2 linked regions of the Neodiprion lecontei genome follow. The protein of the gene in region 1 purifies or fractionates together with the protein of each later gene. This does not show direct contact. Links are inferred from orthologs where the notes say so. Each region holds a gene or a part of one and is shown on either strand. Other genes may lie near its edges. The genes, in order: syntaxin-17 and vesicle-associated membrane protein 7.

Evidence for each region.
Region 2: the proteins of syntaxin-17 (region 1) and vesicle-associated membrane protein 7 purify together in Drosophila melanogaster (affinity purification with western blotting; 4 studies listed by BioGRID, with this or other methods). This does not show direct contact. The link is inferred for Neodiprion lecontei from reciprocal best matches to the Drosophila melanogaster genes Syx17 and Vamp7.

The regions. Positions count from the first base shown.
Region 1 is NC_060261.1:5,329,977-5,334,388, forward strand, and holds syntaxin-17, read left to right. Parts: upstream 1-2,003; 5' UTR 2,004-2,240; coding exon 2,241-2,375; intron 2,376-2,495; coding exon 2,496-2,691; intron 2,692-2,914; coding exon 2,915-3,126; intron 3,127-3,214; coding exon 3,215-3,431; intron 3,432-3,503; coding exon 3,504-3,640; 3' UTR 3,641-3,892; downstream 3,893-4,412. Other genes in the region: gastrula zinc finger protein XlCGF8.2DB, read right to left, coding at 1-511, 739-795.
Region 2 is NC_060263.1:22,132,150-22,140,240, reverse strand, and holds vesicle-associated membrane protein 7, read right to left. Parts: upstream 6,028-8,091; 5' UTR 5,757-6,027; intron 5,583-5,756; 5' UTR 5,560-5,582; coding exon 5,540-5,559; intron 5,465-5,539; coding exon 5,254-5,464; intron 3,467-5,253; coding exon 3,329-3,466; intron 3,010-3,328; coding exon 2,851-3,009; intron 2,480-2,850; coding exon 2,387-2,479; intron 1,798-2,386; coding exon 1,729-1,797; 3' UTR 574-1,728; downstream 1-573.

The sequences.
Region 1 (4,412 bases):
GGCCACCGACAACATGCTGCATATTGCATGTGTGTATCTTTGAATTGTGAGTGGTCAAGTGATGCTTAAGGACAAAGTCTTTGCCGCAAACTTGGCACTTAAACTCCCTCTCGCCGGTATGAACCTTTTTATGATTACGCAGGTGGACTCGCTGTCGAAACTCTTTGTTGCAAACGTCGCATTTAAAATCCTTGAAACCGGCATGAATTTTCATGTGGTAATTCAGGTGATCTTTCCTTGCGTACTCCTTGCTGCATAAAGGACATCGAAAACTCCTCTTCAACGAACTTATTTCCACACTGATATCGTCGCCACGATTCTTCACCCTCTCAGACAAAAGCGATATATTATGATCCAATCTACTGCTCGGCTCCTCATACAATTCCTCAGAGTGCTCCTCTTTCATCAATATCGTTGCGTAGAATTGCGGATTGTCCACTTCTTCTAATGCCAGCACCTCTTCCCCAACTAATCTGTTATCTGTCGCATCAAATTCGGTATCCATCGGAACCTTTGAAAATTAAAATGATGAATATCGCAGCGCTTGTGAATTTTTTGCTTCTATTTTAAAGTTAAAATACTTTCCAGCCCTATTTTTGCATGTATTGACATAGTTTCAGCAATTGCAGTATAAAATCGAATACCCACACATTGTTATTTGTGTGCAGAAAATATCAACAGAACGTGAAGTTTGGTTAAACTGTAATAACATGTAATTATATTTATTTATTACCGCACCACTTCAATTTCCGGGAATTCGACAAGCGGTTCTACTTTGATGCACCGGGAATTCATCGTCAGCCCCGAGCTGGTGATATCACATCAATTTCTTCATCACTTATTTCTATCTTCTACTTCTCTTTGTTCTTCTGTCTTTTATTTGACTATCAATTTCCAAGTCCGGAAGCCATTCACCAATTCAATTATATTTCGATTTTCTTGTCCCGATATAGAATGTTTTGACGTTTCTACTGTCAAAACATCACGATGCATAAACACATGTCAAAGTGTCTAACGGGCGAAAACTGGGTAACAAATACGCCGTTGCTAATGTCGCGCTCTCTTACATCTGCCGTCCGACCAATCCTAAGCGTTTAGTTTCCGTTCGATCCGTACGTGAATAACATGAAGTTAGCCGCCCGTGCTATCAGCGATCTCCTATTTCTCTCACCCTATCGATCAGGCGCGTAGCTCTAACTCCGTTTTATGGTGTTTTCAAATGGCTACACTGCGTGCAATTTATCCTTATTTTTCACTCAATAGCGAGGACGAAATCCTAGGGAAAATGCATTCGTGGGCACTCTGGCTCCCAGTTGAAAATGAAAACACCTCTAAGTGCGTTCCGAAATTAGCTGCCAGTGTACTATCAACAATCTATTACCTCTCTTGCGCTACTGAGTTCTTGAGTAGCTCTGCCCAGCCCCCTGACACTCGCCACTGCTCGCATACTAAAAAATTGTACGCGTTTTGTCCCCGTTTTTTAGTTCCTCTACGTAGCGCCAGTAGATTTCTGACACGCTCGCTGCCCTCGCTGACCGCGCGCAAGCGTGTCAGATAACTACTAGCGTCACTAGTGGTGGAAATTGGCGGCAGAATCGAGGAACATCTTGCGAACCACTTTTAGCAGCGTGTGTCAAGGGGCTGGCTCTGCCTCCATCCTAGGGATTTTACTGGTGCCAACTAGTTTCGGAACGCATCTTTTGACTCGACAGGGGTGCCTAACAATCGAATAAAGCCCGCAATATTTTTATTGTCCTACCAGCATCAAAAGGTAGATTTTTCTTCGCTAAAATTTAAAAACAAATACATAACCTAAAAAACTGCACAAGGAAGAAGGGCCTTGACCTGTTCAGTTCGATATAGCGGTCTCTCTCTTTTCTCAGTCTCTCTCTGTTGCCCATCTTAGCGACAGCAGCACTCCTATCGAATTTAACGCTAAAAATGTACTCCACTTTCATAGACCACGTTCCCAGTACAGCGTTCGGTCTCCTTCTCTCTAGTCTTCATGTCTAGGGGTGTACCTTGATACATACGCCAATGGAAAGAGAAATAACAAAGAAGAAAAACAACTTTCAGTGCGCCTGGTGCTAAAATCTGCAGTTTCAAGTAACTAGAAAGCAATAAAATCAAACCAACGAACTACGTCGTTTTGTGACTGAAAAGGATCAGCAATAAACAAGCGCTGTCAGACGATAATTTAGCAGCTAACGTCTTCTTGGGTTAAAACACGTAGGCAAACCATGTCGTTGCACAGTGAAACCGTAGGAAATAAGCAACCAATCAAACGGCTGGAAATACCAATTAGCAAATTCAATGACGTCGCAATACCACATCACTTAGGAATGCTCAGAAGACATAAGACTAATATCGCCAAGGTTGAATTTTTTTCATACATCGATAACCCAATCTCCCATCTGCCCGATATTTTGCTCATGAGAAGAAAAACGGCAGCTAACATGATCAGTAATCTTGATCATCATGGTCTTACTTTTTAGCTAAAACAAACCGGAGACTGGGACCGTATCTATAAAGAACAGACGAATGCTTCTCGTCTGGTCAAACAGCTTAAACAGTTATTGTACGAAATGGATGTTCTGCGAGGCCAAGTACAAGACAGCGATATCGCTAAGTTCGATCAACTCACAGCATACTCTAGAGCAAGTACAATGAATGCCATCAAAGAATATTTGGGTAAGCATTGAATAATTTTCGCATTGTTCAAATTTTTTGGACATCTGCTGACTGAAAACTAAAAACTAAAAAGTAAAGCAGATATTGTAAGATGGAAATGATTAAATTCTAGCCATGTTATAAATAATTTGTTTATTCTTCCATACTATTAATAATGATAATAATAATAATAACAGCAATAATAATAATAATAACAACAATACTCAGTTATCAATAATTGCAGCGCTGGACCTCAATCTGCCTACAATGAACCGTTTGTCAACCAAAGATGAAGATGAGGCCACAAACCACCCATTTCAGGATGGCAATATCCAACTGCACGCAGAAGAGAAAGAATTGGAAAGGCAGCAGGCCTGTCTGCATGCTTGGAACTCTCTGCAGGATGATATGATACAGCTGCATCAATTGTTCGTAGACTTTAATCAACTTGTTCACGTGAGTTTAACTTTTGAGAAATTTGCTTCTACTACTGTTTGAAAATTCTTTCAAATAATATTTCAACGTTTTGTTCAAACTTTCACAGGATCAAAAAGAGTTTGTAAACAGAATAGAAGAAAATACTGAAGAGACTGAAGTAAATGTCACGGAAGGTACAAAGTTCCTAGAGAAAGCAGGAAAATACAAAATAGCGGCATACCCAATAGCTGGGGCTCTAATTGGAACCTGTCTTGGAGGTCCAGTTGGTTTAATCGCTGGTTTAAAATTTGGTGGTCTCACGGCGATTGGTTGTGGGTTGTTAGGTAAAAGTTATTCGTGTAATGAAGTCGTCAATATCATTACAAGTTGTAATATCGCTTTTGTTTTTCTAATAGGTTTTACTGGAGGAACGCTTTTGAAGAAAAAAACTATAAAATCAAGTACGGAAAGCCAAGCAGAAAACAGACTTGAACGTGTTCATGGTTCTGATTTGCCGTCAGAAAATATAAAAGCTAGCAATAAACAACTTTGACCATTACAAGTTAAACGCAAAAAGTGTAAGTTGCATTGCTCCATGATGTAGAGGTGAAGGAACGGTTAAAAAGCAAGTAGCACCGTAAAATCCGCACTAAAAATAAAAAGGATATGAATACGGAACGAATATATGGCTTGATAATAAGATAGCCTTCCTCAAAATGTACCTAACTGTGATCTAAATTGTAATTAACCATGTACAAATATTTTACTAATTGAATAAAATCACTCGCTATTTTATACATTCAAATTCAGGACTATGCATAACGTCCAATCGGAGTCTCATTGAAATAAGTAAATAATTCTACCTAATTAATGTTCGGAATGCGGTTCCTTAAAAGCTTTGACGTACAAAATATTCCCGTACCTTCTGTCAAGGGGATGGTGGTGATGATGATCAAGACTTTTTTAATTCTGCGATCCAAGATAAATTCAATTTTCGCGGTTAACGGTGCAGGCTGTCAACCGTGACGACTGAAACAAGTGCCACTAGATGCTGCGACTCTACAGGTACAGTCGATTATAGAAACCACCAATTGAAACAACTGTGAACTTATTCAATTGTTAACCGTTAAGTTCAATCGTTGGTGCGTAGTTTGTTGTGTATATTTACGAAAAACCGACCTCGTGCTAGATCAGAGCCATTCGATGTGTCACATTGAATATATGTATTCATAGTCAATGAATTAAAATTGTTCCTTCTTTAAAAACTACCGCTCAATCCAGCAAATTGAACACAGAATACTGTTTTAAGGGAGCTTTTTTCTTTT
Region 2 (8,091 bases), on another chromosome or scaffold:
AAACATGTATTGGACAAAATTTAATCTCCAACATAACTCGATCTAAGTTTATAACTTTACCAATATGGAACAATGTCAGGCAGAAAAATCCAATATCTCGAAGCCAACAGACTGAAGCAAAATTAGAATATGACCTAAGACCGGACTATTACTCACGATTTCTTTTCGTTCTTTAACTGAATCTTCGCAAGTAATTGAGAAATTTTCATCGCCTATTACGGCTGCTACCTTTTTCACCGTTTATGTCAGTTTTCTGGAACATGGCAATAGGCTTAGTTTCAACAGAAGTGATAGATAATGTCATTGTGTGTGAGTTTATAACAAAAAATTGCGATAATTTTTTATAGCGTACTTATAGTAAGTTCCTCCGCGATGATGTTTTAGGTATGCACGTATTTATTTATTTATATGAGAAATACTGATTCATTTCAAATTATTGTTTTTCATTTCTATTTTTTGTCCCCAACAATTCCACAGAAAATTTCAATAACTTTTGATCATTACGACGGTATATGTGGGATCAATTTTGGGATTCGTTAACCAAAGTTATACGTTCGAAAGAGCGACGACAAGTTCTGTGTAATGACGAATAATATTTTTATTACGATTCATTTGAGAGTATAATGCAGCGGAGTAGTCAAATATAATTTAGGTGGGTACACATGGTGGTCAGTTTTTGCAGTGAGGGTTGAGGGTCAATGAATACGCACGGAAGATGAGGTGAAAAAAGGGAGAAAATACGGCAAAAAAAATTTCGCGTCCTTAAATTCGTGTTTGATCTTGGTATCAGCTGCTTATATCCAAAATACCTATTGCTTAACCAAAATCAGACGTTATTTTCAAAACCTAAAAAATGATACAATCCTCAAATCCCGGCCTATATCAGCATCGTCTTTATCTCTTGAAACGCTACAAGTCTTGTATGAAACTTTTTTTTGTATCTCTTTTCCTTTCCGAGATATTCGCACGGGGTATTTGAAACCGACCACCCTGTACTACGTGAAATATAGCTTAAAATAATGTTTATACAGGCTGTAGTTACTTATGTTTGAGCATATATGCTTATGATATGATAATCACAGTAGTAAAATAATTCGAAGTTAACAAAATCAGTTATTACCTACAGGTATGTACATTACATGATAATATGCCTTTATTGCCCCACTTTGTAAAAGGGAACAAGTATCCAGTTCATTTCTTCCGTTCAACTTTTTATTCCACTTTACTATCTATTAACAATTGTTGAAAGAGATAAATTCACGGTTACTCAAATTTCTTACTATTTAGAAACAAAATAAATGGTTGTTATATCACAATAAGTCTAGAATCTTGTGGCCAATGATCGAAACGTAATGCTTTTGAACTTTTACGACGATATTATTCAGCATCCGTCTTAACAGTATGCAATAACGATATAGAAGAAAAAACAAATAAAAATAAAAAAAATAAAGATGATAAACAATATATAAAGGTATTTTTATTGATTGAATTTATAAATTAGTTCAATACCAAATATCGCTCTCCTCCCATCCTTCCTCCTTCCTTCTACCTTACCGTGTGCCATGATTTGAAAACATTTCCATCAAAAAACAGTGCAACAGATTCATTGTTTGAGTACCTTAAATAATTTGGCCAATGTCTGCGAAAACGCTTAACATGTTCATTCATTGGTCAAGGATACCGGCACTGATTTCATACAATCCAAATTTAGAATTGTCTAAAATATCTTCAATTACCGACACACTTCTGCCATGCAAGACCTCCACAAGCCATTGCCACAACAAAGTATATTACAACCTGGAATAAAAAAAATAATAAATACATACTGCTATAATCATTCAATTCAAATAAAATGCAGGGAATTTCATCAATCATAAAAATAACGACCCGGCATCAAAAAATTGATTTTACTGTATCTATTAAAATTTATCATAATTATTTAAGCAGAGTAATATACCTCCGACTTGGGAAAAATTACGGCGTTAAATTTTAGTTTGTATCCGATGATAAAGTTTTGTTCTACTTTTCGATAAACATTTTACGTTTGATTTTACGAAGGAAACAAACGATGGATAGGCAAAATTTTGGTTCTTTTAAGTGTAAATCTGAATTTCTTAATTCTCTTACTTTATTTATCAACATTTGTAACTTTGCAAGATATAAAATTTGTAACGTGGGTTCATGAACAAAGCAAAACTTCACGATCCTTGGATATGACCTAAGTCAAAGGCTCCAACGATCCATAGCTCAAGGGTTTCTCATAGGTAAAGTTTTGGGTAAAGCATGATGAACTGTTTGAATAAGAGCAGAATATACTTTTTATGTGTATGATTGGTAGAATTCCTTGTGACACATTAGACGCCTAATTGTTGAGATTTATACGTACGATCAAAACAAGAGCCACTATCACATAAAGCTTTATGTTCTTCCAAAAAAGGGAACGAGCCAGATTTCTGCTTGTTTTCCTGAACGTCACAGACTGCAAGATTAGTCAATTAGTCATTAGTGCAAATTTTACTTTTTTAATAAAAACTATCTATGGAGAGGAACAATTTGTAGAATACTGAAAAAATAAAAATTTTCTGTAATGGTTTACTTGGTGGCGCTGCCAATTCTTGTATGATTTTTTAAAGATTTTCGTGGGAATGATGAAGATGATATGCATATATAAATCTATCAAACTAAACAAAGTCGATAGTTCAGTTTTCAATGGCAATTACTTCTCAAGAATGACATTTCTGCAACAAGATATTGCATGTTATGAAATTCGGTTGAAACTCGGCTTTTTAATCATACCTTCCAGAAGAATTGCCCTATAGATAACTTATAAGAGTAGGGATTGAAACTTACACTAGCAGTCAAATTCTCAGTTTTGTTTATGAGCAATTCTAGTCTTTCCCCTCGTGCCGCAACGTTATCGATATTCTTCACCATAATGTCTTTAAGTTCATCAAGTTCCCCATGCACTTTGGATAGTGTATCGATATCTGTGGACTCGCTGTAGTGTTTCTGTTTAATGTTAAGAAAATGAACTGTTTTAATGAGCGTTGTCGCAGGTAATGAAAGTAGATTTTAAAAAAGTAGCATATTCACTAAAAAATTTATAACAAGTTGAGAACTAAGATTTATTGATGTCAAACTTAGTGTTTTCTGTTTTTTTCTACACCTTTTTCAATTGACAGTAAGAAACAAAGTTCTTTCAATTTTTGCACCGAAATTTTGTCATAGTTATTGGTATGTGCATAAAAACCACAATCTTTCAGAGAAGCTGAATCGCTGCTGTGATCTCAAAAATTTTCTCCACGGGACTCGAAAACTTATAACTTACCATTTCATTGGCCAGCACCCTCGAAAACTCAGAGTTCATTGCATAGGCTAGAGCAGTTTGAGCTCCATGTCCATAAGCTGCTTCAAATCGTCTCTTAATTTCATTCAAGTATAAGAAGGCACGCGACCGTTGAAATTCCTGAAATTCAAAGTCACCAATCAGTTAATCAACAGAAACATTTGCATTTGTACTAAGATTGGTAAATGTCGTATTATCCAGACAATACCATCTGTTGATTGTAGATAACTGATGCTTATAAAATAATTACCCATGAAATTACGAGCAATATCAAGTTTCACTGCTTTTATTATGACGACAATTGTGAAATTTGTAATAGTTTGTCCAAGGAAAATGATTAAAAAACAGTTTTCTTCAAGAGTATTAAAAACCATTTTGAGAAATGTATCGAATATTATCAGTCCAAGCGAAACAGATTTTTGACTCTGAAAATTTGATATTGAAGACTTTTGATTTGCTGATTGCTCTACATTTTTGCCCCCACCCACCTTGTAATTTACTCTTCTTTTTCTGTGTCATTTTTTAAGATTCCAGAAGAGATGAAGCAACTAATTTTAGGTGCATCCTCGCATATTTAACTTTGTCCATATCAAAGTACGAAACGTTCTCATTTGACCAAATATTCATGCAACTTACACTATAAAAGTTTTTTGGCAAACTTTTCTTCTAAGTTCAGTTACGTATCTATGTAGTTGAACTAATTTTAGAGAAAACCGGTGTGCACAGAGCAAAACTTCAAGTAAATTATTTTGTGATTACATATAGCCTGAGAACATATAACGTGGCCATGAGCTGATACATATGGGTCATTCTCAGTCATTCTTATTTTTCTGTAAAATCGGCATTTGTTTACCGACTTGCGGCAATTGAAGACCTTGAACGAACGTCGTTGAGTTTATAGTTTGTAATCAGCGCCACTCGAACTAGGTGCGCAGTCATTTTGTCATTTATTTCATTACTGACACTCTGTGGATACAGTTGAGAACGAGTGAATGGAGTCTCTGCACTGGTAAGTTTTATTTTAAAAATATTCGTCTAAAAATTTTAATTCATTTGTATATTCACTTCTTGTAGTGTATAGATTCTAAGTTTTCTTGGTTAATCGCGTACAATAAATACATTTGTCATTATTTCTGTTTTTGTTACTAAAAAGTATCTCCCTTGTTTATATCTCCCCTGTTTATATCTCCCCTGTCTTGTTAAGGGCCAGGGGAAAGACACGATATCCAGGGGGGATATGAAAACTTCAAACTATAATTTTTTATACTGAATTTTTTATACAGAATAAAGTTAATACTCAAAAGAAAAGTTGTTTTCTTTCATAAAATAACATTAAAATCCTTTCCCTGTTCACAAAGTATCCTACTCTGTATATCAAGTCTCTCCCCTGGTTTCTTATAAAACAAGATAAAATTAATAAATTGACTGACTGCCTTGCAGACACGTTTAGAATGATTGTTTTGATCGAAACATTATAAAATTTAATTAAATTTTCAAAAATTTTACCGTGCCGCGTTTTATCAATAAGCAATTTACCTCTTAAGTGAGAATGACCTATATGCAAACGTCATCTGTTGATGTAAACAAAAGTGGAAACAAAATATATGATATTCTAGGTACGTTTTATATATTCTGGTTCATTTATACTTGTAACAATCGGTTATTAAAAACAGAATTGAAAGAAACGCAGAGAAAGCTAGAATTGACATTCCCAGATCTCAAGGAATTACATTACAGAGGTGATACCAGCTTTGTTTCTTTGTTTCTAAATTTTTAAACAATTGCGCAGCTTTGGATAAAACCCCTTTCCCGATTGACTCGTATTTCGTGTTAGTAAAAGTTATTTTTGTCACAAGTAGTGGGTACTGGGCGCTATGTCAAAGTTCTTGGAAATACTCATTACGCACGTCATCCGTGATGCACATGTATACAATCCTGTTATCGCACATGTAGTGGAAGAGGTACGGCCCTTGGGTATAAGTTAGCTTGTCATTGTGCGGTGGTATTTTAGCCAAAATCCGTTCGGTCACTTCGGCAAAGTTTCCAGTGCGCGCCGCATGCTTGGCGAGCACGGTTGGCCCACGTGCCACGACACTGTATAGAATAGGCATTCTTTCTCTGTAAATTGATAAGAAAACTTGTCGTCAATTGGATAAGACATCGGTATTCTTAACCTGCATTAATCCGATGTACTTTTCATTTCCTTGAATCATGGCTCGCCGATCTATCGGTCAGCCTGGGAAAACAATATAGTCAACTTCATTGTCGCCACGAAAATCGCACAGCAATTCTGACTCACTCGCATCGTTAGTGAGGAATTCTCAGAGAGGTTCAATATCAACTCTGCCTGCTGTGAAAGTTAGTGACAAGTCGCTGGCACGTCTAACCAGAGACAGTGGCAATGACCTACCTTAATTTGTGAATGCGGAAATTCTCGAGGATATTTCCTCGCCTGGCAGCTCTCTACTCCGTAAATGACCACACCAAAGACAATGTGCGCACTTGTTGCTGACCGCGAGTTATAGATTGCATCGGTTTACGGTGATGGTTAATCACTCGATAACGACGAAAATTTACGTCAAAGTTCAAATGAGTCAAAACACACTCATCCACCTACAAAACGAACAAAGCACCAAGCATGCCAAGCACTGTCAGCAGGCATTCAAGGAGGAAAACTCACGTCACCCGCTTTGTTTTCTGGCCACAAGAGTGCGCGCTATCGACGCGTCATTCACCAGTTACGGTGATTTCGCCCGCATATAGGCAATTAAGGGTACATGCATTACGCGACGTATCCGCCTGCATACAGGCAATTCGATGTACTCTTTATTCTTAAACTTCAGTCTCGAGCTGTTGCTCTGTCATACAGGCGGAATCACCCTGTGTTAAATGTCCCACGGTACGCACATTTGGAAATACGTTATATATTGGAAGGTTCGGTGTTATCACCGACGATGACTAATCGTGTAGTTTGCTATATGTATATATCTATGTTTTTTATAGGCAAACATAAATATTCTTTCAGACCTAGCGAAAGGCTGCTCAGGGCGAAAAATAAATGGATTAAAATTTTGTACAATATTTAATCAGTTCTATAAGGAATCAGAACGCTTTTTCTGACACTGTAGCACAATCATTTTACAGAAACTCCTGAAATCAGACCCTCGTAAATACACTTCAAATCCTCTGTGCAATATTTATAAGTTGTGAAGTTCGATACTTTTACAGTAATATATATCAGAGAGTGAAATGTCGATCTAATAGTTCCAAGTTTCCCAACTGAATTTTGTCCCAAACTACATCAAATGTTTCAGGAATATTAGAGAAGTTTTTGACTAATGATTCAATTTTAAATGTAACTGAAATATTTCTAAATATTGTGTAAAATATTTCTAATACAGCTCTGACAGAATTTTTTTTGCGTAATACTGCATTCATATTGTAGAAATACTGGAATGTTTTTAAGGAATGTATGAACTGCAGTAACGTGCATACATTTGTTGTTTTGAGGACGTTAAGTCGAGGGCTGAACTCGATTTCCAGTACAATGTTTGCAGCGACGTAGGTGTAGAAAGTTATAAACTTGGATTGACTGTATCCTTAGAATATAGCATCATTTTCAGCCATTAGATAGGTAAGTTACTTCGGTTCAAAGCATCATGGGAGGATGGAAAATTAGAAATTTGAAACATTACCTTATTTCAACTAGTGATTTTAGTTCTTGTAATCCTTGCAGACCTTGGATCGATAATTTATTCACGTCAGCAATAATTTTTAAATATTTCGACAAGTTTGTGAGCTGCTAAGAAATTGATAGAAATATCTTTTGAGTCATACGTCGCGGGTTTTGTCGTTTTGGCTTTCTATTAGAGTAAGGATTAATATTTGTACTTCTGCCTAAACGCAAATATTTGCATCGCTGCGTCTTGACAAAATGTCACGAATCATGTGTTTTTATTGGTGGATCGCTTCGATAAGAAACACGATATATGCCATCCTGAATACTGCGCGTTCTAGACGTTTTTTAATTTGACCTGTACCGACGACCAGGCAGAGTTCTACATGCAAAACTAGAGCAAAAGTCATCACAACGAAGTTTAAAATCATTCATGCGATACATTATACCCAGCGTCCATAAAATAATTTAATGCGCGCAGATAATATATAACTTGCATTAATCCATTTCATCAGGTTTTTGCCTCAATCAAAAAAATTACGGTACTCGGTTGTATATATTTTTTTTTTTTTCAAATTAACACCGATCTATTTCTTTTAAAATGGTATATCCCTCACGTGTCTGGATTTCACGAAATTTTCACCTCTGGAAGATACTTCGCAACGCGTGTCTATGTCTGCGGTTAAGTTATGTAGCACGCAGCGATGTTTTGCTCTTGGTAAGAACAGGGAGCGCCGTAAATAAGCGCAGTGCGTCAGATAGCGCATATATCGAGATAACGGTGCCGCGAGTCTTTCAGGCCGGCCCGCGGCGTAAACTCGTGTAGATCTACATTTTTCCCACCGCCAGTAACTGTAGGCGCGTGCTATTAAGCCGACCGAAACTTGAGGAGTCCCTCGGCGCCGCGTAAAATTACGCTAGCCAGTTCGCAAAGTCACATGCGCCGCTTGTAACTCGTTAGTCACATTCATGCAAGCCCGTTGTTTCGTCCACCGCCGATAGTGCAGTGCCGTGCTCCTCCTTAACCCGGCTTCACACCTCGGGGTGTGGATGTTTGGATTTTGACGTC